Linked DNA regions of Stegostoma tigrinum. The protein of the gene in region 1 binds, or shares a complex with, the protein of each later gene. Links are inferred from orthologs where the notes say so. Each region holds a gene or a part of one and is shown in the gene's direction. Other genes may lie near its edges. The genes, in order: nsmce1, nsmce4a and nsmce2.

Evidence for each region.
Region 2: nsmce1 (region 1) and nsmce4a share a complex: the UniProt entries of both Homo sapiens proteins name them as parts of the SMC5-SMC6 complex. The link is inferred for Stegostoma tigrinum from reciprocal best matches to the Homo sapiens genes NSMCE1 and NSMCE4A.
Region 3: nsmce1 (region 1) and nsmce2 share a complex: the UniProt entries of both Homo sapiens proteins name them as parts of the SMC5-SMC6 complex. The link is inferred for Stegostoma tigrinum from reciprocal best matches to the Homo sapiens genes NSMCE1 and NSMCE2.

The regions. Positions count from the first base shown.
Region 1 is NC_081376.1:24,323,583-24,331,510, reverse strand, and holds the start of nsmce1 (non-structural maintenance of chromosomes element 1 homolog), read left to right. Parts: upstream 1-4,644; 5' UTR 4,645-4,681; coding exon 4,682-4,745; intron 4,746-5,579; coding exon 5,580-5,714; intron 5,715-7,928. UniProt on the Homo sapiens protein: RING-type zinc finger-containing E3 ubiquitin ligase that assembles with melanoma antigen protein (MAGE) to catalyze the direct transfer of ubiquitin from E2 ubiquitin-conjugating enzyme to a specific substrate.
Region 2 is NC_081373.1:27,618,783-27,627,550, reverse strand, and holds the start of nsmce4a (non-structural maintenance of chromosomes element 4 homolog A), read left to right. Parts: upstream 1-5,070; 5' UTR 5,071-5,124; coding exon 5,125-5,386; intron 5,387-8,768. UniProt on the Homo sapiens protein: Component of the SMC5-SMC6 complex, a complex involved in DNA double-strand breaks by homologous recombination. The complex may promote sister chromatid homologous recombination by recruiting the SMC1-SMC3 cohesin complex to double-strand breaks.
Region 3 is NC_081358.1:47,630,965-47,639,175, forward strand, and holds the start of nsmce2 (E3 SUMO-protein ligase NSE2), read left to right. Parts: upstream 1-4,875; 5' UTR 4,876-4,986; intron 4,987-8,211. Other genes in the region: washc5 (WASH complex subunit 5), read left to right, coding at 253-409, 647-734, 1,054-1,110. UniProt on the Homo sapiens protein: E3 SUMO-protein ligase component of the SMC5-SMC6 complex, a complex involved in DNA double-strand break repair by homologous recombination. Is not be required for the stability of the complex.

The DNA.
Region 1 (7,928 bases):
ACCTTTTCTAGGCTTCATTTCCTCCTAATGGCCTCCTCATCTGCGTATTGTTTGTGTGTGTGTTGTGCACGCATATGTGTTTAAACGGGATGAACGTTAGGAGGAAGTGGAACCTGACTGCGGCAGGTAATTATTTACTCTTGACAACAGGCTGAATAATACTACAGATAAAGCTTTATGTTGAAAGTGCAGAAACAAGTAACAAAAACAAGTGCAAATATAAGATCTTAAAGGAACTATGCCTTTCTGAGAAACTTTGATAATAGTTTATATTTATGTTGTGCCTTTAATGTTATCAAAACCAAATACGCCATTATAAAACAAAACAAATATTATTATAAATATTATAAACAAAATATAACACTAAGCCATAAAGGAATTTTGGGTAGATGAATAAAACTTAGGGGCCAAAGAGATAGACTTAAGACATGTCTTAAAGGAGGAAACAGCGGTAAAGATATCTGTTGTTTAATTGTTCTATTTTTAATTATGTAACTTTGGTAACTGATATGTTACCTGTGTTTAATTGCTTAAGCCTTGGTGTTGACTCAGAGCTAGAGCAAACAAATGAAGAGCTAGAAGCAAGAACTGGGTTAAGCATCGGTGCTGATACAAGTGTGATGTAGAATGTGGTAAACAAGCTAGGAGTCCTTTGGAATAGTGATGTTTGGGGGTAATGAATGTATGACTGAGATTTTAAGCAGAGAAGAATTCAGGCAAGGTGAGAAAAAATATGTGCTATAGAAAGTGAAATTATGTGGTCTTGATGATAGTGCCCATTCATGGTTGAAGGCTTACTCTGGGGTCAAATAGGTTGCAAACAACTCGATTTGCCCTCTTTTCATAAAGCTTATTTGTAAAAATATTTATTGGGTGGGGGTGGCAAAGAGAAAAAAAAAGCTAGAACCTGGAAATTATTTCCAAAGGAGTCTCTCTTAAAAGTGTGATCAGAGATAATGGGAACTGCAGATGCTGGAGAATCCGAGATAACAAAGTGTGGAGCTGGATGAACACAGCAGGCCAAGCAGCATCTTAGGAGCACAAAAGGTGACGTTTCGGACCTAGAAGGGTCTAGAATTGGGAGCTAAAGCAAGGATATTTTTGGGATTTTGACTAATGCTGGGATATGTTAGTCTCACATTCTTCTAACTGAAATCCTGAAGGAGATACAGTATTAGGTTGTAAATGTCATCAAGCAAACATTCTTGCAAAAGTGCCACACGGATACAATAATTAAAATTCAAATCATTAACAAAAAGAAATCTTAAATCGCCATGTTATTTTGTCTGGTCTATTTCTTCCCAGTCATATGCCTTTTCCAATCAGTGAACTGGAACTAGTGAATCACCCTCACAAACTAATTGGCATGGGGTACAACTGATTTTGAAAGATGTTAATTCATTTGTTTGGCTTCTGTGTTTCCCTGTATATGCTATTATGATCTCAGCTGATGACAATATTGGACAAAATCAGGTTATAGAATGAAACTCAGGTCCGTAAATAATTTATTTCGAATTTTCCAATATCCTTTTAACAATTCGATTTTGATTATGATGGATATACAATTTTTTCAGTCGAGTCCTCTAGTATGGAATCACATGGGAATGTTCCCTTTTTAACATGTTGACTTTATGATAAACAATGCAGTCTTTGTTACTCAATTAGTTTCAACACTATTAGGACAGGTGGGCTCCAGCTACTACAACTTAGTTCAATAATATATAATTTCATCTTGTGCTCAACCATGTCCCTCACTTGAGCTAACCCTTTGGGTTGAGTCTGTAAGAATATTATTTTATGGGTAACACACACCCTACATTAATAGCATGCATAGCAATAGATTCTCATGGCCTATTGAATGATTTATGTGTTTGTCACAGCTTCCTAAGTCACTTTGATAGTTTTCTGGGAATTAGCAATAATATTCCATCCACGTTTTAAGTAATCCATACTATCCAATCTGATTTTTGGGGGATCAACTTTTGAAGTTCCAATTTCATTCTCCGATTGTTCAGATATTTTATTTTCATTCCCTATGTTTATCACCATTGTAAATATACTTTCTCTTGACTATCCTGTCTGTCATTAAAAAAATGTCCTTATATTAACATGATATGCATGCTGAGTTTTCTCCTGTCTGGAATATTGACAACTTAATTCACGTCTTTGAGTTTCTTTTTTATTTGTTACGATCCAGTGACCTAAGCTTTTAATGGTTTCCAGAGACGGATATCAGACCTTAGATCTGGCAATAAATCTTCAAACTTTTTAGCTGTTCTAATTTTGTTGAAAGACTTAATACTTTTTTAGTCTAGCTTAGTTTTTCTCTGAAACTTAAAACATAGGCATTAAGCATAGGGCAGAATCTTTTGGGGTCTGGATGTCATATTAGACAAGGAGTGGATATAAGTCCGGTGAGATCCATCTTGACATCAGAAGTGTCACGTTCCATCTTTTATGCTTTTATCAAATGGCATGGAGTTTCTCACTAGGTGGTGAGTTACCGATTGAGAAGGATACAACTTGTCTCATTAATGTTCAGCTGTATTACCAAAGACATCTTAGTGAAGAAGGCATTTGGTACACTTGCCTTTATTAGTAAGTGCATTGAGTATAGGAATTGGGATGTCATGATGCAGCTGTACAGGACATTGGTTAGGCCATATTTGGAATACTGCGTCCAATTCTATTCTCCCTGCTATAACAAAAGATGTTGGGTATATGAACAGAAGGTATTCAGAGTGATATGCGCCAAATGGGACTTGATTAATTTAGGAAATCATACAGCTGTATAATTCTACCAGTGGTCTGGAGAGGTGCCATTGTGGTTGTGAGGGTTTGACAAATGCTGAACGCCAATGTTTGTGGACAAGGGCTGAGTGCAGCTAGTGCACAAAAACGCAGTTTGGTTGTATGTAACATGGATTTCCTTCAGATCAAGCAAATTCGTAGCTGCTCTGGTTTCCAATCTGTGTTTTCTCAATGACTAGCTTGTTATAGTCAGAGTTTACAGACCCTTTGGTCCAACTCATCCATGCCGAGGAGATAGCCTAAACTAATCAAGACCTATTTGCCAGCAATTGACACATATCTCTCTGAACACCTCTACTCATCCAGATGCCTTTTAAATGTTATAGTTGTACCAGCCTCCACCACTTCCTCATTTCACACACACACCACCTTTTGCATAAAAAAGTTGCCCCTTGGGTCCCTTTTAAATCTTTCACTCTCATCATAAACTTATGCCTTCTAGTTTAGGACCCCCTTTTCCTGGGAAAAGACCTTGGTTATTCACGCTCTCCATGCCCCTCATGCTTTTACAAACCTGTATCAGGTCACCCCTCACCCTCTGAAGCTCCGGGGAAATAGCCCCAGCCTAGTCAGCCTCTCCCTATAGCTCAAACCCTCCAACCCCTGCAATATTGAAATCATTTCTGAACCCTTTCAACTTTCACAACACCTGTCCTACAGCATGGAGGCCAGAACTGAAGGCAGTATACCAGAAGTGGCCTAATATGTTCTTTTCCTGAGGGCTTAACCCCCTTTTATATAAGCAGCATAAAAACAGGATAATGAAAACTGGTGGGAAAAGGTGGTATTTATGACAACGATGGAAGTGGGGTAGGGTAGCAGGCATAAACTGGGTTGACAGACATGGGTGCCAAGTCAAAAAAGAGCAAAGGGGCTGCTAGTTTTAAACAGAGCAGAAGTTATGCTGAACGAGTGCCAGCAGCAAGTGTAAATAGTCTAAAATGGGTTGACTGTTCTGGATGCATACACAATAGGACCTGAGGTTGGACAAGAGACTTGGAAGAAGGTTTACATTCTCTGATTCAGTGTTGAATTCTGACAATTGTAAATTGTCTTATTCCTCCAGCTTGCTTTGAGCATCCTTTAAGAACTGAAGCAGCCTGAGACACTAATATTGACGTGAGAAAACAGTAGTGTGTCCAAGCGGCAGGCAACTAGAAACTCGGGTCACTTTTACAGACGTACCATTCCTCCCCTCCCCCTAATCTCAGCCACCATAAGCTAAAATACAACTATTTTTCACTGGCTTTCAATTCTGACAAAAGGTGGCTGGACTCCCAAGCGGCGACCTGTTTCTCGTTCCATTGCCAGACCTGCCGAGTTTCTCCGAAACACTTTGTGTTCGTTTCCAATCCCCACAATCCGCGGCCCTTACTTTTACTTTACAAAGGAAAACAAGTGAAATCTGTTTTGAGATCTGGGGGGAAAAAAATCACTTCGTGTTTCTAACCAACCTCGGATATTTCCAAAGAACTCACATTCTGGTGACCAACTGTTCTAACCATCCCGACTGAACATTTTATTTCACTTTTCGGAAAGGGTTTGGAGAAAACTTGCCCCGAAAGAGTTTGCGTTTGGCATCAAACACTGAATTTTTTTTTGAAACCATGAAGTTTCTAACAGAGATTTTAAGAGAAACGAGCAGCTTTAAGGTATCAGGAAAATGAAGAAGATCCTTTAGCAAAACAAACTACAAAGACGCCAACATCGAACTCCGCACCGAACAAAACTCTCAACTGTCGCCAGGGTACAGAAAGTTCTGGAACCCAAACCCATAATGCACCGCGGAGTCACTGCTGATGGGGATTGTGGGAAATTGTGACTGCGGCCCCGGTGAGTGGTGCTGCGGGGTGGGCCGAGTGATTCAGAGATGGAATGGAATATAGTCTGGGATCGGGGTGGGGGAGTGTTGCGAGTGTTTAAGGAGGGATGGGGTAAGCGAAAACGATGAGGGGTTTAGAAGGGAGGGAGAGAGAAAAAAAAAGCGGGCGGGGGTGGAGGGAAGAAGGGGGAGTGGAGTGAGAGTGGGGAGGGGGGGTCGGAGAGATGGGGGGGCAGTTGGGTGTACGAGAGAGAAGTGAAAGGGTTGATTAAGGAGAATTAGGTGAGAGATAGGGGAAGGGGCTAGGTGATGTGGAACACAGGGAGAGAGACGTGTGAGAGGAATGGTCAAGGTAGTCAGAGGGGATGGGCAAGGAGTATTGGGTGGCAGGGAATGGCAAAGATATTGGGGGATGGGGTAATGGAGTGGGGTGAGGAGAGGTGTTGGAGTTGGGAAAGGGGTGGCAAGGGACATGGGTGGTTGGACAGATTTAGAGGCCTGTGGACTGGTAACTGGAGGATGGTGGGATGAGACTGGAGGGGGTAGATGGCAAAAAGGTTGGCAAAGATAGAAGCTTGAATGGATTGGGTTTTGATAAGGGTGGCAATGGTTGCTGGCAGAGAATAGGGTAAGGCAGGCATGGAAAAGAGGACAGAGAAGAGGATTAGAGATGAAATGGGATGGATGATGCTTAATGGTGTGGGGAGTGGGAGAAGCGTTGGAGGCATGGTGAGTGAATTAGTGTTGGGCAAATGGAGGAAAGCAGGAGTGTAGAGTGAGGTAACCCTTTGTGCAGCCTTGGGGAATGGATCCAACTCATCTGAGGAGGGTAGTGGAAGTACATAACACAGTGAAATGCCCCATGGCAGCAGTTAAATAATGACCAAATTGTTTGATTTCTGCGTGATGCCAAGGTTCTCAGTTTAGTCTGTTTTTATTTCTCCAGGAGAGTGTAGTGTTGTAATGGCAGCAGTGCTAAATGAGAGCCACCGACGATTCCTGCAGACTATGATGTCTCAAGGAATTCTAGAAGGATCGATGATGAGGAAATTGCACAAACATTGTTGTGAAACACACCAAGGTCAGCTGACTGTTAATGTGCATTTACTTCTTGTGGTCTTTCTCAGAAGAAAGATCATCTTGAAATTTAATGTTGCTCAAGTTTGTGGGCAGTTTTATGCAAGAGAACTATGGGCTTTCAATATTTAGTGTCTTGTCATAGGTCAACATTTGAACATCACTTCGAGTGAGTTACTTACAAGTACAGTGATTTGTTATGCACAGCACTTAATCCCAATAACAACAGTCTCAATGCTGTTAATAGGCTTTTGGTGGGACAAGTAGATCTTCCATGTCTTGTTTGTGATTAGCCTGGTACATGAAGCAGAGTTGTTTAATTGCAGAAACTAAGCATCATGGAGCAAAATAGTGTTAACATTTTGTGTCCAAAACAAATCATCTTCAGACCTGAATGTTTCACTGTCACAGTGTTTCCCCAATCTTCCTGCCTTATAGCATCCTCCATCCCATTTCACTTCTCATCCCTCAGTTCTGGAGAAGAGTTATACAGAGTCTGTTAACTCCATCTCTTTGCAGATGTTGCCAGACCTGTTGAGTTTCACCAGCGTTCTGCATGTGTTTCGGGTTTCCAGCATCTACGATACTTTGCTTTTATTGTTATTTAACTGCTTACCTGGTCTGCTGCATACTGCCCGTGATAAAGGTAGTTTCAGTAAGGTCAGTTCAGGTTTTTGTAGCTTTTATCGACGTAGTTAGGTGGTAACTTGGTCAATTTGCAAATTTAGATAAGAAACCAACAAGGTTAGATTTTGATTTATAAAAATTGTACAATACTTGAAAGAGGTTATGCACTAAAAATAGAAATATTTTTTATTGAAGTAAATTGGTTGAGGAAAGTTTGTGGGAAATTCAGTGTGGGAACATGCCTATTGCTGTTGTGAGTTACAAATATTTCCAGAGTCTTATCTGTCATCCACCCACCCTCTCCTCTCATTCTTTTACACACCATTACTTTGATTACATTAGGGTTTCCACTGATTTACTCACTTTCTTTGAGTTCAACAGATTGATTCACTTCTTTATCAAGCAGTTGTTGCCTAACTACTTGTGAATACTTGGTGAGATCAGTCCTTCAGTAACTGGAACGGTAGAAAAATGGCAAGAAATTGACTTCTGCACTCTCCATTTGATATAATTTAACATCATTATTGAAATCTTTTATTCAGTTTGATTTTTAAATTTCTATTTACTCTTGTGAGAGTAATTGTGAGATCTGATTCAGGGGTCTGGAATCTGCTTCTGACTGAAATGACCATTCTTTTTGAGTGCTGGTAGATAACAGCTGTTAGGCAACGTTAATTTTCTTACAGATCCTGTGCTCACTCTTGGTGCGCATTCAAGTTTGAACTCTGTTGTCCAGCATTGATCCCTGGATACCAGGAGCAAGAATCCCTGTTGATTTATCTACAAAACTTATTTTCCTACTTTTGTAGTGTGAAGGCTGTGGCTGAATAAAAACTGAAAGGACTGCAGATGCTGTAAATCAGGAAAAAAACCCAGAAGTTACTGGAAAAACTCAACAGGTCTGGCAGCATCTGTGAAGACAAACGGCAGCACGGGGATCTCAGTGGCTACCACTGGTGCCTTACAGCACCAGGGACCCGGGTTCAATTCGAACCCCGGGCAACTGTCTGTGTGGCGTTTGCACGTTCTTCCTGTGTCTGCGTGGGTTTCCTTTTGGTGCTCCGGTTTCCTTCCACAGCCTGTAGATATGCAGGATAGGTGGATTAGCCATGGGATGTGCAGGGTTACAGCAATAGGTGAGCCTTGGTGGGATACACTTTGGAGAGTCAGTGTGAACCTGTTGGGTCGAATGGCCTGTTTCCACACTGAAGGGATTCTAATCGAAATCAGAGTTAACGTTTCGGGTCTGGTGAACCTTTCTCGGAACTGACGGCAGCAAGGAAATGTCAGTTTGTATGCAGAAAATAGGGTAGGGTGAGGGGATAAGGGGGAGCTCAAAGAGAGAGAAGAACAGTTGGCACATCAGTAAACGACCATGGTCAATGTGCCCTAAATTCTGGGAGCAGGTGGGGTCATAAATGGAAGAAATGTTTAATACAGGTGACTGGTTTGTTGTTGGTTGCCATTAACCTATGAGAAGGAGAGAGTGAATTCATGTTGTAAATGCCTTCTGACGCTGTGGAGTGACCTGAGTGATGAAAAGATGCATTTGCATGGGTATACCTGAAGTAGTACACTGAACACGTTGCTA
Region 2 (8,768 bases), on another chromosome or scaffold:
GAGGGGGGGAACATTGCATGGTCCCTTTAAAAGATTATGTGCTTTTTCTGTGCTTCAGAATTTAAAAAAAAGTCTGTGAGCAGCAGCTTGAAAGTTTACAAGTACACAGAAAGTACCTGAATTGAAACATTTGTTTAAAAAACTGTACGGTTAGCTAGTGAAGCAGCAGTTTTTATCATGACAAGTTTTGATTTTAACCAATCAATTTGAACCAGGTACTTAAAATACCAAAAACCAATTTAATTTTATCTGATGGTTTTGGCAACATAGGACCAATTCCATTTTCAGAAATTGATATGTCATCAACGGTATAAAAGAAGGGGCAGTTGGCAAAGACAGTAGAGCTAACTGCTACCTGCCAGCCTTAATAGTACTCAGCTCTCACAGGCTCCTCTATGTATTAAAGAAAGCACCATCTAAAGAACAAAGGTACCCCTGGCACAACTAGTGAATATTCCTGATAGAAGAATCAATGTAGAAGATACAGAATATTCTGGAAGACATGTCACCTGGCTGTAATTTCAAGAGACTATTTATAAGTGGGATTTGTATTTATTGGAACAGCATTCTATTAGGATCTTGTTTTAGTAGTGAAAAGTTAGTCATTAGAAGGGATTCATTCAATTTGTTAATCGATTAATTACTTTGTTCACTGTTACAGTTCGATAAATAAATTGTCACTTGTTGATTGTAATGTGAATGTCAGGGGTTTATTTTATTTAACCACTAGAAGTTGCTGAAAGGCAGGTTAGACCACTTTTCACAATCTTTTTACAGATTATAGGGCGAGGTGCTCCTCTTTGGGTGTTTTGCTTTCAGTCCTTGAGGTGGGGGTGGAGTCACTTCCACTTTATAACACCTCATTGTCATTACATATGGTTTATGTCATTGTTACTTACACCTCCCAAGGTCTGATCTTGTCCTCTCAATCTAATTTTTCTCCATTAAAATTTTCAATAAAATCTCCTTTTGTAACTCAAAGCCTTAAGTCCAGAGTCATTTTACTGTAAATCATCCCTAAGGTATCAATGCCTTGTAAAATTGGGTGATGACTTAAACGCCTAAAATTCCTTTTGGAAGGGTAAATTATCAAGCAGATTTACCTCTGTTTGTTTTTCTGATTTTGAGTTTTCCTTCCACACTGACATATCCATGCATTCTGTAACTTGTATTGTAAGGAATGTTTTTGAAATAAAATCTAAGTAGCCAGTAGATCCAGGAAAATAATAGTTGCTTAATTGTGCAGAACTTAAGAGCTGCTTAAAAAGGAACTTGTCATGCATTTATCCAGACAGAATTGCACAAATACCACATTTCATAGGGAACAACATTTTATGCTGCACAAAATGCAGCGTGCTCACAGGCATTAGATTAACTTATTTTGGGAAAAACAATGAAACAAGATAAACATTTTATGAAACACCAGCAACTCAAAACGTGTTCAGCAAGCAATACTGCTGTATTTATCAGAATGGAAATCCAGTTAAGACAATGACAGTGACTATTGAACTTTCTACTGTGTTAGTGACTCAGAGAAAGCACACTTGTATAACGTGACAAATGACATCTATAATCAGTCATTTAGTTTTGACTCTCTATGCATATTTCTGTTATAATTCCTACCAGAACAACTATTTCAAAACCGTTTACTTCACAGAAAACCATCAATATAACTAGAATAAAGATTTACTTTTAAACTGTAACTTGATTAAAAAATATATTAACATGAAACTGGAATTTGAACATTAATACATAGAATACTGAAATACTAAATGATATTTGTGTCCCTCCTAAGGATACATGTTACTTTTTCACATCTCTGCTACGCTGGTTATGTGATTGTTTTTGTGTGCAACATATTCAACAACTGCTGTACAGATTCTTCTGTGATATCACGAAGTGAACATAAGTTCACTCTCAATTAACTAAACTGTTATCGGTTAATATTTTAACTTATCAGTCTGGCTTTTTTATTTTAATGGTAACTGATCTTTCAATGTTAAGTTTGCAGTCAAGTATAATAAAAAAAATCATGAAGTCCTTCAAAACGGATTGATACCAGGTATCATATTGAAGGAAGAAAGTTAACTCGAAAAAGCAAACATTTGAATATGTATGAGTAATTTTTAGAATGGCCTGTTATGTCTTGTAGTATCCAGTATATCTATTATTAAGCAGACTCCAGCATCCCAGCACTAACAGCCACAGGAGACTCCTGCAGTACCCTCCAACCTCTCTTGACAGTCACACATCTATCTGACTGAACCTGCTGTGTGACCACCTCTCTAAATCTACTGACCATCACACCCTGTGTCTCTTGCATGCTCCTCAGTGACTCAAACAGCCTTTCCAGCCATTCCAAATGGTCTGGTAGAAGACAGATCCAAGCACGCCTCCCGAAAACATAGTCTCCATAGATGGTCAACTGTTTGCTCGTCTCCTACATTCAACAGGAGGAACATAGCATTCCATTGACGGGCATAATTGGCCCTTAAAAATTTGCCTTCATATTTTTGCTGAAAAAGACCCATACTTTTCTCAACTCCAGTATTTATAGACTGATTGCTGCTGTCGCTCTATGTTGGAAGGATTTCAAGCCTATATTCTATACAATAAGGCCCAAAAGAAGAAGCTCTAAATTAAACTTTGTATGAAAAAGATCTACCCTTCACTTACCCACAGCTTTTAACTTTAAAAATGTTTCAGTCATGGCCTATTAACTAGTTTTCATTGCCATGCTCAAAAATTATGTCACAGCATTAGACATCTAATACACAAATGTTAAAGACTTGAACAGTCAGAACAAACAAAAATGGATTAAAATACAAACTAAACTGGATTCTCATGACATATGTAACTAATAACAGTAGAAACAGTTAAGTTGGAGACTGCTTAGTCAACAGTGCACTTGCTCTCAGCCAAAAGCAGCTCCATACTAAATGCCAAACTAAACTAACAGAGTAATGTACAGATCAGTTCAACTTCAAACCTTAGTATTCTGATATCTTCACGAACTATTTACCTTTATTTTCACATCATTTGTGCAGTTGAGCGCAGCATGTATCTCCTCTATAAGTCTTCAATCATTGTTTAATGTCAGGCCACTGTAGCTGAAGCTAACTGTGGCTGCACAAGAATCTTATGCACCAAGATCGTATTGGGCAATATTGTTATGATGTAGTTTAAAGTGAGGCTAGCCTTGTCTGGTATCATGTGTCATCAGGTTAAAATGAACAGGCTCTAATCCTGGATTTTATTTCAACGCATAGATGACTTTCTTTTGTAAACATTCAGCACTGCTCGAGGTATGAGTGTACTCATGAAAGGGAAACTGGACAGGAATTTGTGGCATGATGAATTGCAGGTTGCTAATTTTTATTTTAAAACTCTATTAAAACAAGTGACTCAAAAAAGAGAGTAAATCTAGCTCCAGGGATACTAAACTGCTTCTTTAAACCAAACTGTCAATTTCTCCCCATATTACTGTCTGAACCCTAAGCATACTGCATCCATCATGCCAGACATAGCAATGAACTGTCTCCCCATTAAAGCCAGATTGGTGTTTTTTTAAAATTCATTCATGGGATGTGGAAGTCACTAGCCAGACCAGTATTTATTGCCCATGGCTAATTGCCCAGAGGGCAGTTAAGAGTCAACCACATTGTTGTGGGTCTAGAGTCACATGTAGGCCAGACCAGGTAAGGATGGCAGATTTCATTCCCTCAAAGGCATAGTGAACCAGATGGGTTTTTCCAACAGTTGGCAACAGTTTCATTGTCAACATTATATTTTAGTTAAATTCAAGTTCTACCATGATGGCTAGAATTCCAGGTACTCAAGACATTATCTGGGTCTCTGGAATAGTAGTCTAGTGGTAATGCAATTAGATCATCACCTCCCCTCTACTTGTCATGCTGATTGTTGATTATCTCATTCCCTCCTAACCTCTAGCATCTCTCCCCTTTATATTGAATTTCCTGCTCCATTGCACATCCCATCATTCTGCCTGAAAATATCACAATTGAGTTCCCCAGTTTCACCACCAGCTCCTGGTAAAGCCTTCTTTGCCTTTTAATGGACGGGCTCTAGGACTGTCACTCTTTGTGCCCCACCCCTTGACAGACCTGGATGGTCAGCCCTTCTGACAACTGATTGTAACCTTGGCTGAAATCTGTGCAGCTTCCCGAGTGATTTACTGTGACTTTCAAAACTGTTTGCACCAGATCTACAGGACTGACTGGAACCTGACTTCAACTCTTGTGCCCCTAAGATGCTGCTTGGTCTGCTGTGTTCATCCAGCTCCACACTTTGTTATCTTGATCTAATTGCTCACTCCTTTGTGCCCCACCCTGTGATGAGCTTAAATGCCACCTTTTCCAAGCTATCGGTTCTGAAGAAGGGTCATTAGACTTCAAACGTTAACTTTGCTTTCTTTCCACTGATGCTATCAGACCTGTAAAGTTTCTCCAGAGAAATAAAGACTGTAGATAATAGAAGCCTGCACCTGTCGGTGTGAGACTGGAAAAGCACAGCAGGTCAGACAGTATCAAAGTAGGATACATCAACGTTAGTGTACCTAGTACTATTGAAGGGTTTCAGCCCAAAAGGTTGACTTTTTTGCTCCTCTGATGCTGACTGACCTCCTGTGCTTTTCCAGCCTCACACCAATAGATTCTGCTGAGTTTCTCCAGTAATTTGTTTTGGTTCTTTTCCCTCACTTCTATATAGGGTAATGCTTTTATGTAGGATGAGATAACAAGCTGGATGAACACAACAGGCCAAGCAGAAAGGCTGACATTTCGGGTCAGGACCCTTCTTCAGAAACCCGGGGGGAGGGGGGATTCTGAAATAAATAGGGAGAGAGGGGGAGGCGGATAGAAGGTGGATCAAGGACAAGATAGGCTGAGAGGAGACGAACAGGTCAAGGAGGCCCTATACAGAACTTTTATTTAATAAAAATTAAAATCTGAAGCAATAACACCTTTCGTCCTTCACTGATGACGCAAACCTGGGAAACATGTTCAACTACAAATTAAGAGTCGGTGGCTTTGACTTCCGGCGCATGTGGAGGTGACGTGCTGGAAAGGCGCTGGTTTGGCTTTGTACTGGCGGGGTGGAGAAACAATGTCGGAGGGCAAAGGTCGAGGCCGATCCCCTTATCCCCCCGGGGGATCGCAGCGCTCCGCTGCGGGCACCTCCAACGGCACCATGGCCGGAGCGGGAGCTCCGCAGCGCGGCAGGAGAAACTCAGCCGTCTCGGACTGCACCGTGACCGAGGACGAGGAGCTGGTCGATGGCGCCATCCCGTATGGGGCCCGGGATGATGACCCGAATCGCCGGAGGATGCTGAGGCACCAGTACCGGGAACTTATCAACAGCGTCCAGCGTGAGTGAGCAGGCACGGGGACACCCAGTTCAGATTGTAACCTCTTCTCGCTCTCATCAGGACACTCTGGGTCTTCCGTTCTCCCCTTGTGAACTCCAATAGGAAACGTAAAATTAAATAACAATAGAATCTCTTGTCTTGTATCAATACCACGGGCCAGTTTGATACCGAGTAACCTGCGTCTATATTATTTGTGAACAGGCTTTCCCTTTTTTTTGAGCAGGCTTGCCCTTTATAAATATGGTTTATCAATAACTTCCACTCGGTTAGACTTGAACAATAAGACTACTTTCGAGCGGGAGATTTAAGTTTAGTTCTCATCTCCAGAGGTGTGGAATAAAATGCCTGAACAAGTTGATATTTCAAAATATCCGAAGTTGCTGCTTTGTGGCTTTCATGAGAAAACGTGTCGTCGCAGAATGTGATTCTGAAAGCCAGTCAGATTGCTCCACTTTACCAGTTCAGTTGCTTACCGGCTGTCCTAGTGTGGAGCTGGATGAACACAGCAGGCCATGCAACATCTCCGGAGCACAAAAGCTGACGTTTTGGGCCTAGACCCTTCATCAGAGAAGGGGATGGGGAGAGGGTTCTGGAATAAATAGGGAGAGAGGGGGAGGCAGACTGAAGATGGATAGAGGAGAAGATAGATGGAAAGGGGATAGGTTAGTCCAAGGAAGCGGAATGAGGTTGGTAGGTGAGAGGAAGAACAGGTTAGGGAGGCTGGTTTTGGGATGCAGTGGGGGAGGGGGAGATTTTGAAGCTTGTGAAGTCCAGCCCAGCTCGTCCCCTCCCCCCACTGCATCACAAAACCAGCCCAGCTCGTTCCTGCCTCCCTAACCTGTTCTTCCCCTCTCCTATCTCCTTCTCCCACCTGCCAACCTCATCCCACCGCCTTGAAATGTCCGTCCTCCGTAGACTGACCTATCACCTCCCCACCTATACTCTCCTCTCTACCTATCTTCTCTATCCATCTTCGGTCCACCTCCCCCTCTCTCCCTATTTATTTCAGAACCCTCTCCCCATCCCCCCCCTCTGATGAAGGGTCAAGGCCCAAAACGTCAGCTTTTGTGCTCCTGAGATGCTGCTTGGCCTGCTGTGTTCATCCAGCTGCACACTTTGTTATCTTGGATTCTCTGGCATCTGCAGTTCCCATTATCTCTAGTGTGTACCAATTTGGTTTGTGTGAAATAAAGGTGGTGTGAACAATTTCTTTCCAGGACTTCATCTAATGTTAGTAGAATCTGGAATTGTCCTGTTTACATAGAACATTACAGTACAGTACAGGCCCTTTGGCCCTCGTTGTGCTGACCTGTCATACCGATCTCAAGCTCATCTAAACTACACTATTCCATGTACGTCCATATGCTTATCCAATGACGACTTAAATGTACCTAAAGTTGGCGAATCTACTACCGTTACAGGCAAAGCGTTTCGTTGCCTCACTACTCTGAGTGAAGAAACCATCTCTGACATCTGTCCTATATCTTTCACCCCTCAATTTAAAGCTATGCCCCCTCGTGCTCTCCGTCACCATCCTAGGAAAAAGGCTCTCCCTATCCACCCTATCTAACCCTCTGATTATTTTATATGTTTCTATTAAGTCACCCCTCAACCTTCTTCTCTCCAACGAAAACAGCCTCACGTCCCTCAGACTTATTTCGTAAGATCTTCCCTCCATACCAGGCAACATCCTAGTAAATCTCCTTTGCACCCTTTCCAAAGCTTCCACATCCTTCTTATAATGCGGTGACCAGAACTGTATACAATACTCCAAGTGTGGCCGCACCAGAGTTTTGTACAGCTTAATGATAACCCCTTGGTTCTGGAACTCGATCCCTCTATTAATAAAAGCTAAAACACTGTATGCCTTCTTAACAGCCTTGTCAACCTGGGTGGCAACTTTCAAGGATCTGTGTACATGGACACCGAGATCTCTCTGCTCATCTACACTACTAAGAATCTTACCATTAGCCCTGTACTTTGCCTTCTGGTTACTCCTACCAAAGTGCATCACCTCACACTTGTCTGCATTAAGCTCCATTTGCCACCTCTCAGCCCAGCTCTGCAGCTTATCTATGTCTCTCTGCAACCTACAGCATCCTTCGTCACTATCCACAACTCCACCAACCTTAGTGTCGTCTGCAAATTTACTAACCCATCCTTCTACGCCCTCATCCAGGTCATTTATAAAATGACAAACGGCAGTGGACCCTACACCAACCCTTGCAGTACACCACTAGTAACTGGTCTCCAGGATGAACATTTCCCATCAACCACCACCCTCTGTCTTCTTTTAGCAAGCCAATTTCCAATCCAAATTGCTGTATCTCCCAAAATTCCATTCCTCCGCATTTTGTACAATAGCCTACTGTGGGGAACCTTATCGAACGCCTTGCTGAAATCCATATACACCACATCAACCGGTTTACTCTCATCTACCTGTTTGGTCACCTTCTCAAAGAACTCAATAAAGTTTGTGAGGCACGACCTTCCCTTCACAAAACCGTGCTGACTATCCCTAATCAATTTATTCTTTTCTAGATTATTATAAATCCTATCCCTTATAACCTTTTCCAACACTTTACCAACAACTGAGGTAAGGCTCACTGGTCTATAATTACCAGGGTTGTCTTTACTCCCCTTCTTGAACAGGGGAACCACATTTGCTATCCTCCAGTCGTCTGGCACTATTCCTGTAGACAATGACGAGTTAAAGATCAATGCCAAAGGCTCGGCAATCTCCTCCCTGGCTTCCCAGAGGATCCGAGGATAAATCCCATCTGGCCCAGGGGACTTACCTATCGTCACCCTCTGTAGGATTTCTAATGCCTCTTCCTTGTGAACCTCAATCCCACCTAGTCTAGTAGCCTGTATCTCAGCATTCTCCTCGACAACATTGTCGTTTTCTAGAGTGAATACTGTTGAAAAATATTCATTTAGCGCTTCCCCTATCTCATCTGACTCCACACACAACTTACCACTACTATCCTTGATTGGGCCTAATCTTATTTTCGTCATTCTTTTATTCCTTAAATACCTATAGAAAGCCTTAGGGTTTACCCTGATTCTATCCGCCAACAACTTCTCATGTCTCCTCCTGGCTCTTCTGAGCTCTCTCTTTAGGTCTTTCCTGGCTACCTCGTAGCCCTCAAGTGCCCTAACTGAGCCTTCACATCTCATCCTAACATAAGCCACCTTCTTCGTCTTAACCAGAGATTCCACCTCCTTCGTAAAGCATGGCTCCTGCGCTCTACAGCTTCCTCCCTGCCTGACAGGTACATACTTATCTAGGACACACAGGAGCTTTTCCTTGAATAAGCTCCACACTTCTAATGTGCCCACCCCCAGCAGTATCCTTCCCCATCCTATTCTCCATAAATCT
Region 3 (8,211 bases), on another chromosome or scaffold:
CAGGCTCAGTTGTGGCGAGGATGTAAAATGATGCCAACAGCATGACTTCCTGTTCAAGTGAATTGGCAGGAGATGTGCCTTTTTAGAAAAAAGTTCTATCACACATTGTCTTGGTTCCAGTATCTGCAAATAGTATTTAGTAAGTCATGTAACGGAGAAGAAAATTAAGAAAGATCTGTTTTTAACTATCTAATAATTAACTCTTAAAAACATATGGATAGTTTGATTGTTGCATTTTTTTTCTGCATGCAGGCATGGTGTGTAAGAAGTCCACGGATCCCACAGATTGGCCACCTCTGGTGGTTGGACTTGTCACTCTGCTGAAGCAATTCCACTCGCGTTACACAGAGCATTTTCTGGCCTTAATTGGCCAGTTCGTTCGCTCCATTGTGGAGCAATGCACTACTAGGTAAGGATCATTTGGTTTGGGAAAAGGCTGATGCTGGAAGACTGAATGATTTAATCTAATAGTTGAATGGCTAAAATTTCTCATTGTTTCTTTAAAGGCAGGATGGCTGAAGCTTAAACAAAATAATTTTGAAATATCAGCCCCAGGTTGTCTGTAACAGATTTTGTTGCAATGTTTTAAATGTATGATAAATAACTCCAGGGTGTCTTTTTTTTTTTCTCTTTTTTGTTTATTTAGTCAGAAAATCCCAGAAATGCCTGCTGATGCTGTGGCTGCCTTGATGTTCTTGGAGAATTATGTTTATTACACAAAATTACCCAGAAAGGTGAGGAAATGTTCCTTAATATTCATATTACAATCTACCAGGAAGGAGTTATACTACACCAGATTGAAATATTGTTATTTAGCTGTGGAATTCCAGAATGCAATGGGCTTGGATAGATTTCTTCTGTTGTCTAGTTTCCAATGCATATGATAAAATGTGTTCAATGTTCAGAACTGTCTTAGCACTCTGAAGAAAGGCGACAAAAGATATATAGGAAAATATTGAGGCCTTGCTGACCAGGTTGTCCTTCTTCAATTGATATTTATGTACAGCACTTTATAAAAACAATTGATAAACATTATTGCACTTTTCTTGCCAGGTTGTGGAAGCACATGTCCCTAGTTTCATCTTCGATGAGTTCAGAACAATTCTATAATGATGCCTGAGATGAAGAAAGTAGTCTGCCTCAATGTGAAGTGGTGTGCGTACTAATACCTGATAAATACTGGAATCCTTGGTTAATCTGAATATGCCTGTCTCAGCCAGAATGACACATGAAAACGGTGAATTCAGAATTTTGCTAAAAAAGTTGTGTGAATGCAAAGAAGAATTTACATTTTGCATTTGCAATAACATTGTAGCATCAATGCTGAACCCTTTTCTTCTCCAAACAAAATACAGCTCAGTTATGTATAATCTATATTTTGATTCAAATAAAAAAGTTTACTTGAACTATTGAGAAACAAAATTTTATGACTAATGTATTGCATTTTGAGTGAGCTGTAAATTAAGTAAAATTAATTGTTTAAGCCTTTGCAATTTGCATTTCTTTAAAAACTGGAACTTCAAGTTATATTGAATGGATTGCCTTTGGAAGGATAATGGTTGATCTTAAAATCAAAACATTTTTACATATGAAGGCAATTTTTGACTGTACAGCTGACCATTAAAAGTTCTTTCTGATCATGCTGTGTGGTATGCAACTTAATGGTTTTTCAAAGATGTTTTGTAGTGCAAGTTAAATGTTGTCCTATAATGTTCAGTCACTGGAATTTTACGGAGATCTTTGAGTAATATTCCTTTCTAATTTTCATCTTCGTAAACAGCAAAGTAGACAAAGATCACAATAATGCTGGAAAACAAATGGCAACCTTGAATCTAATCTTCAGGGTCACTCCATGATAAATCTAATGTTATTGAGATAGTTGTTTTAGTAACTCTCAGTATTTTTACAACCGACTATTGATTACAAACAGGTAACATTGTGATCTGGGGACACTTCTGAGGGAGAAGATTGCAGGTCATCCATACCATGAATTTGCTGCTTTTGATGTTTTGAGTAGGAACCAATACAGTTTCTTATTGAAGAATTTATTCCAAATTCAGTTTGAAAGTGAGAAATTGCTGTTCTGTATTTAAAAGATAAAGTAAATATTCAAAGAAAATCTTAAAGGATCTTCTACAAAGACTCGATGTTGTGCCGACCTGCAGACTGGTGCACTCCAAGGCCCAGGACTACGTGCTGAGGGACGCGCTAAAGCTTGGGGCAGCCGCAGCCAAGGCACGGTGGGGAAAGACCACCGTATGAAACCCCTCGTCCAGAATAGAAAAAAGGGTCCTATCTGGTAACTGGGCCCAGCTGGTGCCTTCCCCAACTGGTCAGGGGGCCAACTGGGACTATGCGGGGAGACGACTGACGGGATATTTTCTTTTCTTTGTTTTTCTTTGTTTTGTTCTTTTCCTTTAGTTGGTGTACGTACCCCCTGGGTAACCCAGAGCGGCTTGCATGACTGGGTAGGTGTATAAATGTTTTATTTTTTGTACATTCTATGAATAAAGTATATTTTTTCAAATAAAAAAAAGTGACGCAACATCTGAAAACTAACCTTCCAGCTCAGCAAGCAAACTCACATCCAGAAACTCAACCTGAGCTACAAATCTTCTCAAAACTCGCTATTCTAATTGTTAGCTCACTAAACCTTCTGGGAACTGCTTCCAAAGCATTACCATCCTTCTGCAAGCCCAGTGATTGTACTGTACAAGTACTCCAGGTATGGTCTTCTCATTGTTCTGTATAACTGAAACATAACCTCTCTTGCATACCATTCCCATTGCAATAAACCATAACGTTCTGCTCACTTGCTCTACTTGTGTACTTCTGTGATTCATGCTCTTATTTACCCAGGTTTCTCTATCTCTCAGAGCTCTGCAACTTCTCATCATTTAGATACTATACTTCCTTTCATTCATTCTGTCAAAATGGAAAATTTCACACTTTCCCACATTGTTTCATTTGCCAGGCTGTTATCCGTTCACTTAATCTATCTGTATTTGTCTTGTCTGCTCCTTATTTCCTCTTCATAGTCCATTTTCCTATATTTCTTTGTGTTGTTTGGAAATCTAGCTACCCTTCGATCCTTTGATTCAAATCTTTTATAAATTGCAAGGAGTTGAGGTCCCACCACTGATCCCTGTGGCATATCACTCGTGACATCTGCCAGCCTAAAAAAATTATCTATTTATTGCTACTCTCTGTGTCCTGCTTGCAAGCCAATCTTCTATCCATGCCAATATGTCACTCCTAACAACCTTTGACAGGGCATCTTATCAATGGCCATCCTGAAATCTATCCATCCACAGTTTTTGATAAGGTGCCACATAACAGGCTCCTCAGCAGAGTTGAAGCCCATGGAATAATAGGAGGAATGGCAGCATGGATGTGAGGTTTGCTGAGTGACTGTAAACAGTATAGTGGTGAATTGTATTTCAGACTGGGAGAAGGTGTATGTGGCTTTTCTCAGATGTCTATTCTGGGGCCTTTTTTTCTTAGTTTATGTTAATGGGCTAGATATTGATGTACAGGGCACAACGTCAATATTAGGGGGTGACACAAAACCTTTTAGGTATTGTGAGCTATGAGGAGAATAAAGTTCATGAGACATGGTCATTGGTGGAATGGGTGCAAATGAAATGAAATTCAGAGGAGTTTAAAATGTTAGGAAGAAGGGGAAGAGGAAACGTAAAATAATACGTACAAATTCTAAAGAAGCTGCAGTGACGGAGATGCTTAAATGTATACATTGTTGTTAGAGCCAGGGCATGTTGAGAAAGGGGTTAAAAGGGCAAATGGTATATTAGGCTTTATAAATAGAGAGGCAGGAGAACCTTAACCAAACATGAGTTTGGCCTCATCTGAAGTATTGTGTCTTGTTCTGGGTACTGTATTTTTAAGAATATAAGGCTTTATGTGGCGAACATGAAAGGCTCACAAAACTTGTACCTGGGCTGTTGCAGGAATAGATTGATGAAGCTGAGTTGCTCTTTTTGTGACAATGGTTGTGCAGTGGTTCAAGAGATGTGCCCATACGTGTGAAGAGTCTGGACACAACAGAACTGTTCCAATTGACTAAAGGATCCGATATCAATAGATACTGATCTAGGTGATAGATTAAAAAGTCAAGAGTTTTTATATGGTGAATGGTTAGGAGTGGGAGCTGGCAGGAATGTGGTAGGCTCAGTGCGGTTTTCCAAACACTTCATGATGCGATGAATGTGTCCTGAACAGAACTGTCCACACCCTAAATTGGCCCTTATTAATATTATTTTATTGAATTTTCATCACACAAATTGGACGGCACATAATCAGGTCATTCAGCACTCCCGCCCATTTTTGGGACAGGTTGGACTTAGCAAGTGTGCTCATGATTTGAGAAGAGCTTGTGCAGGAGTTTGGAGCAAATTACTGCAGATGCTGGAAACATAAGAATGCTACAGAGCACAGAGGGTCAGACAGTATCCATGGAGTGAAAGCAAGCTAATGTTTTGAGTCCAGGTGACTCTTCATCAAAGTTGACGTGAATTATGAAGGGAACATTATCAACACCCTGTCTCCCACCCCACTATTTTGCAGAAATGTTGTCCCGTCCACAGTTCACGTCAGCTCTGATGAAGGATCATTTAGACTCAAAACATTAGGTTACTGTCCGTCCTTGCAAGCTGCTTGAACCGCTGTAACTTCCAACATTTTGTTGTGGTGTTGCAGACATTTGCTGCCTTAATCCTAGTGGGCGACTCAAGCCACCGGCAACTGAAGCGAACAGCGACAATCAGAGGCATTCGCAACAACTGTTTCCGGGGGAAAGGAGGGATAGTTTGCAGTGGATACTGGGATTTGTAGTTTTCTATTTGGGGATCCTGGAAGTGGAAGAGTGGGGTGGCTGCAGACTACATGTCCCAGGGCGCCTTGTGCGACACCGTGTTGGCCATTTGAATCGCAGAGCGGCGGCGGCCAAGGGGAGGAAGGCCTAGATTGGTGTGTGGTTTGTGAGTTACATTTGTGTAATTTAACTTGTTTCAGCACATGCGAATTGCTGCTTTGTTTCGTATCCAGCGGCTAGCTGTTGTTCTGGAGTTTCAGCATTCAGGAGCCAAGTTAGTTCACAAACGCAAAACAAATATAATAACCAAACTGGGATAAACAAGCAGTACTAGGAGAGGGAGAGAAACGTTCAACTTGTCATCTTTATGGATTTGTAATCAATTCATGCTTATAAATTCATTCAATTCATGATCCTGTGTCCCTGCGTATAGATGGAGGAGAATTGTTTATTTTGGAAAGCGACCAAAATTAGTTGCTTGTTTATCAACATTTCACAAAGGTCTTTGAAAGGATGCTAAAGCCCTGCACTGAAGGTTCTGGAAATCAAACGTAGAAACAGATTCCTGGAAATCCTCAGCAGATCTGGCAGTTTCTGTGGAGATTGAAACAGGGTTAACCTTTCAGGTTGATATTCAGAGTTTAGATGTTTCCTTTTTGACTGCTGAGCATTTCTAGATTTTTTTTCTTCAAGGACTATTGAGTGGCGTCTATGGGGTAAAAAAAGTTCAGAAATTTCTTGGTTAAGCTGAGGATTACCGTTACTGCACACAATCAAACCACATAACCAATTTGGCTCTGTACTCATGGTTCTCCTACCTGAATCAAGTAGCCTAGTCTCACAGTCCCGTTTGTTTTATTTGCTCATGGCATATGAGAATGACAGGTAAGGCCACTATTTATTGCTCTTGTGAAGGAGGGGGTGAGCTGCTTTCTTGAACCCCCATATTTCATCTGGTGATGGTAGGAAGGGAGTTCTAGAATTTTTTTTTGACCAGTGGCAGTGAAGGAACTTGGGTTGAAAGTTAGAATAGCTTGTAGCTCTGAGGGAAACTTGCAGATCATATTGTCAGAGATAATGGGAACTGCAGATGCTGGAGATTCCAAGATAATAAAATGTGAGGCTGGATGAACACAGCAGGCCAAGCAGCATCTCAGGAGCACAAAAGCTGACGTTTCGGGCCTAGACCCTTCATCAGAGAGGGGGATGGGGGGAGGGAACTGGAATAAATAGGGAGAGAGGGGGAGGCGGACCGAAGATGGAGAGCAAAGAAGATAGGTGGAGAGGGTGTAGGTGGGGAGGTAGGGAGGGGATAGGTCAGTCCAGGGAAGACGGACAGGTCAAGGAGGTGGGATGAGGTTAGTAGGTAGCTGGGGGTGCGGCTGGGGGTGGGAGGAAGGGATGGGTGAGAGGAAGAACCGGTTAGGGAGGCAGAGACAGGTTGGACTGGTTTTGGGATGCAGTGGGTGGGGGGGAAGAGCTGGGCTGGTTGTGTGGTGCAGTGGGGGGAGGGGATGAACTGGGCTGGTTTAGGGATGCAGTGGGGGAAGGGGAGATTTTGAAACTGGTGAAGTCCACATTGATACCATATGGCTGCAGGGTTCCCAGGCGGAATATGAGTTGCTGTTCCTGCAACCTTCGGGTGGCATCATTGTGGCAGTGCAGGAGGCCCATGATGGACATGTCATCAAGAGAATGGGAGGGGGAGTGGAAATGGTTTGCGACTGGGAGGTGCAGTTGTTTGTTGCGAACTGAGCGGAGGTGTTCTGCAAAGCGGTCCCCAAGCCTCCGCTTGGTTTCCCCAATGTAGAGAAAGCCGCACCGGGTACAGTGGATGCAGTATACCACATTGGCAGATGTGCAGGTGAACCTCTGCTTAATGTGGAATGTCATCTTGGGGCCTGGGATGGGGGTGAGGGAGGAGGTGTGGGGACAAGTGTAGCATTTCCTGCGGTTGCAGGGGAAGGTGCCGGGTGTGGTGGGGTTGGAGGGCAGTGTGGAGCGAACAAGGGAGTCACGGAGAGAGTGGTCTCTCCGGAAAGCAGACAGGGGTGGGGATGGAAAAATGTCTTGGGTGGTGGGGTCGGATTGTAAATGGCGGAAGTGTCGGAGGATAATGCGTTGTATCCGGAGGTTGGTAGGGTGGTGTGTGAGAACGAGGGGGATCCTCTTGGGGCGGTTGTGGCGGGGGCGGGGTGTGAGGGATGTGTTGCGGGAAATGCGGGAGACGCGGTCAAGGGCGTTCTCAATCACCGTGGGGGGGAAGTTGCGGTCCTTAAAGAACTTGGACATCTGGGATGTGCGGGAGTGGAATGTCTTATCGTGGGAGCAGATGCGGCGGAGGCGGAGGAATTGGGAATAGGGGATGGAGTTTTTGCAGGAGGGTGGGTGGGAGGAGGTGTATTCTAGGTAGCTGTGGGAGTCGGTGGGCTTGAAATGGACATCAGTTACAAGCTGGTTGCCTGAGATGGAGACTGAGAGGTCCAGGAAGGTGAGGGATGTGCTGGAGATGGCCCAGGTGAACTGAAGGTTGGGGTGGAAGGTGTTGGTGAAGTGGATGAACTGTTCGAGCTCCTCTGGGGAGCAAGAGGCGGCGCCGATACAGTCATCAATGTACCGGAGGAAGAGGTGGGGTTTGGGGCCTGTGTAGGTGCGGAAGATCATATTGTCACTCGTCTGTTGGCTTGCTTTTTTCTTGCTGGTCAATGCTGTAGTTTTGAAAGGTACTGTTGAAGGAGCTTTGCTGAGTTTATTACAATACATAAAATAAACTTATAAACACTGCTGCCGCTGTGTCCTTGTGGTGGGGCTGTTGACTGTTTAACACTGTGGAAGAATTGCATTGCTTTATCCTCCATCATGTTGAACTGTACATGTAACTAGAGTTGTGTTCATTTGGCCAAGTGGAGACTCTTCCATTACACTCTTGACTTTACCTTAAACAGTAGCAGGCTTTGGAGAATCTGGAAGTGGATTATTCACATATGGTCAATGGTTAACCACCTGGATGTTAATGGAAATTTATTTGATCATAATACCACTGCATGCCAAAGGGAAATGATTAAGTTCTTTCTTGTTGGAGATGATCATTGGCTAGCATTTGTGTCATGAATCTGACTTGCTGCTTAGCCCAAGCATTCATTTGTTGTTCAATTTATGCTGCATGTAGGCGTTGACGGCTTCAGTACCTAAAGAATAGTAAATCATGCCGAACGTTGTATGTCATCATTGTACACCCTGACGTCTGATCTTATGATGGAGGGAAGGTATTTGCTCAGCTGATGATGTTTGGGCCTTGAACACCACCCTGAGGCACTTCTGTTGTGATGTACTGTCTCTGAGATGATTGACCTCCGATAACCATGACCATACCATTGTCC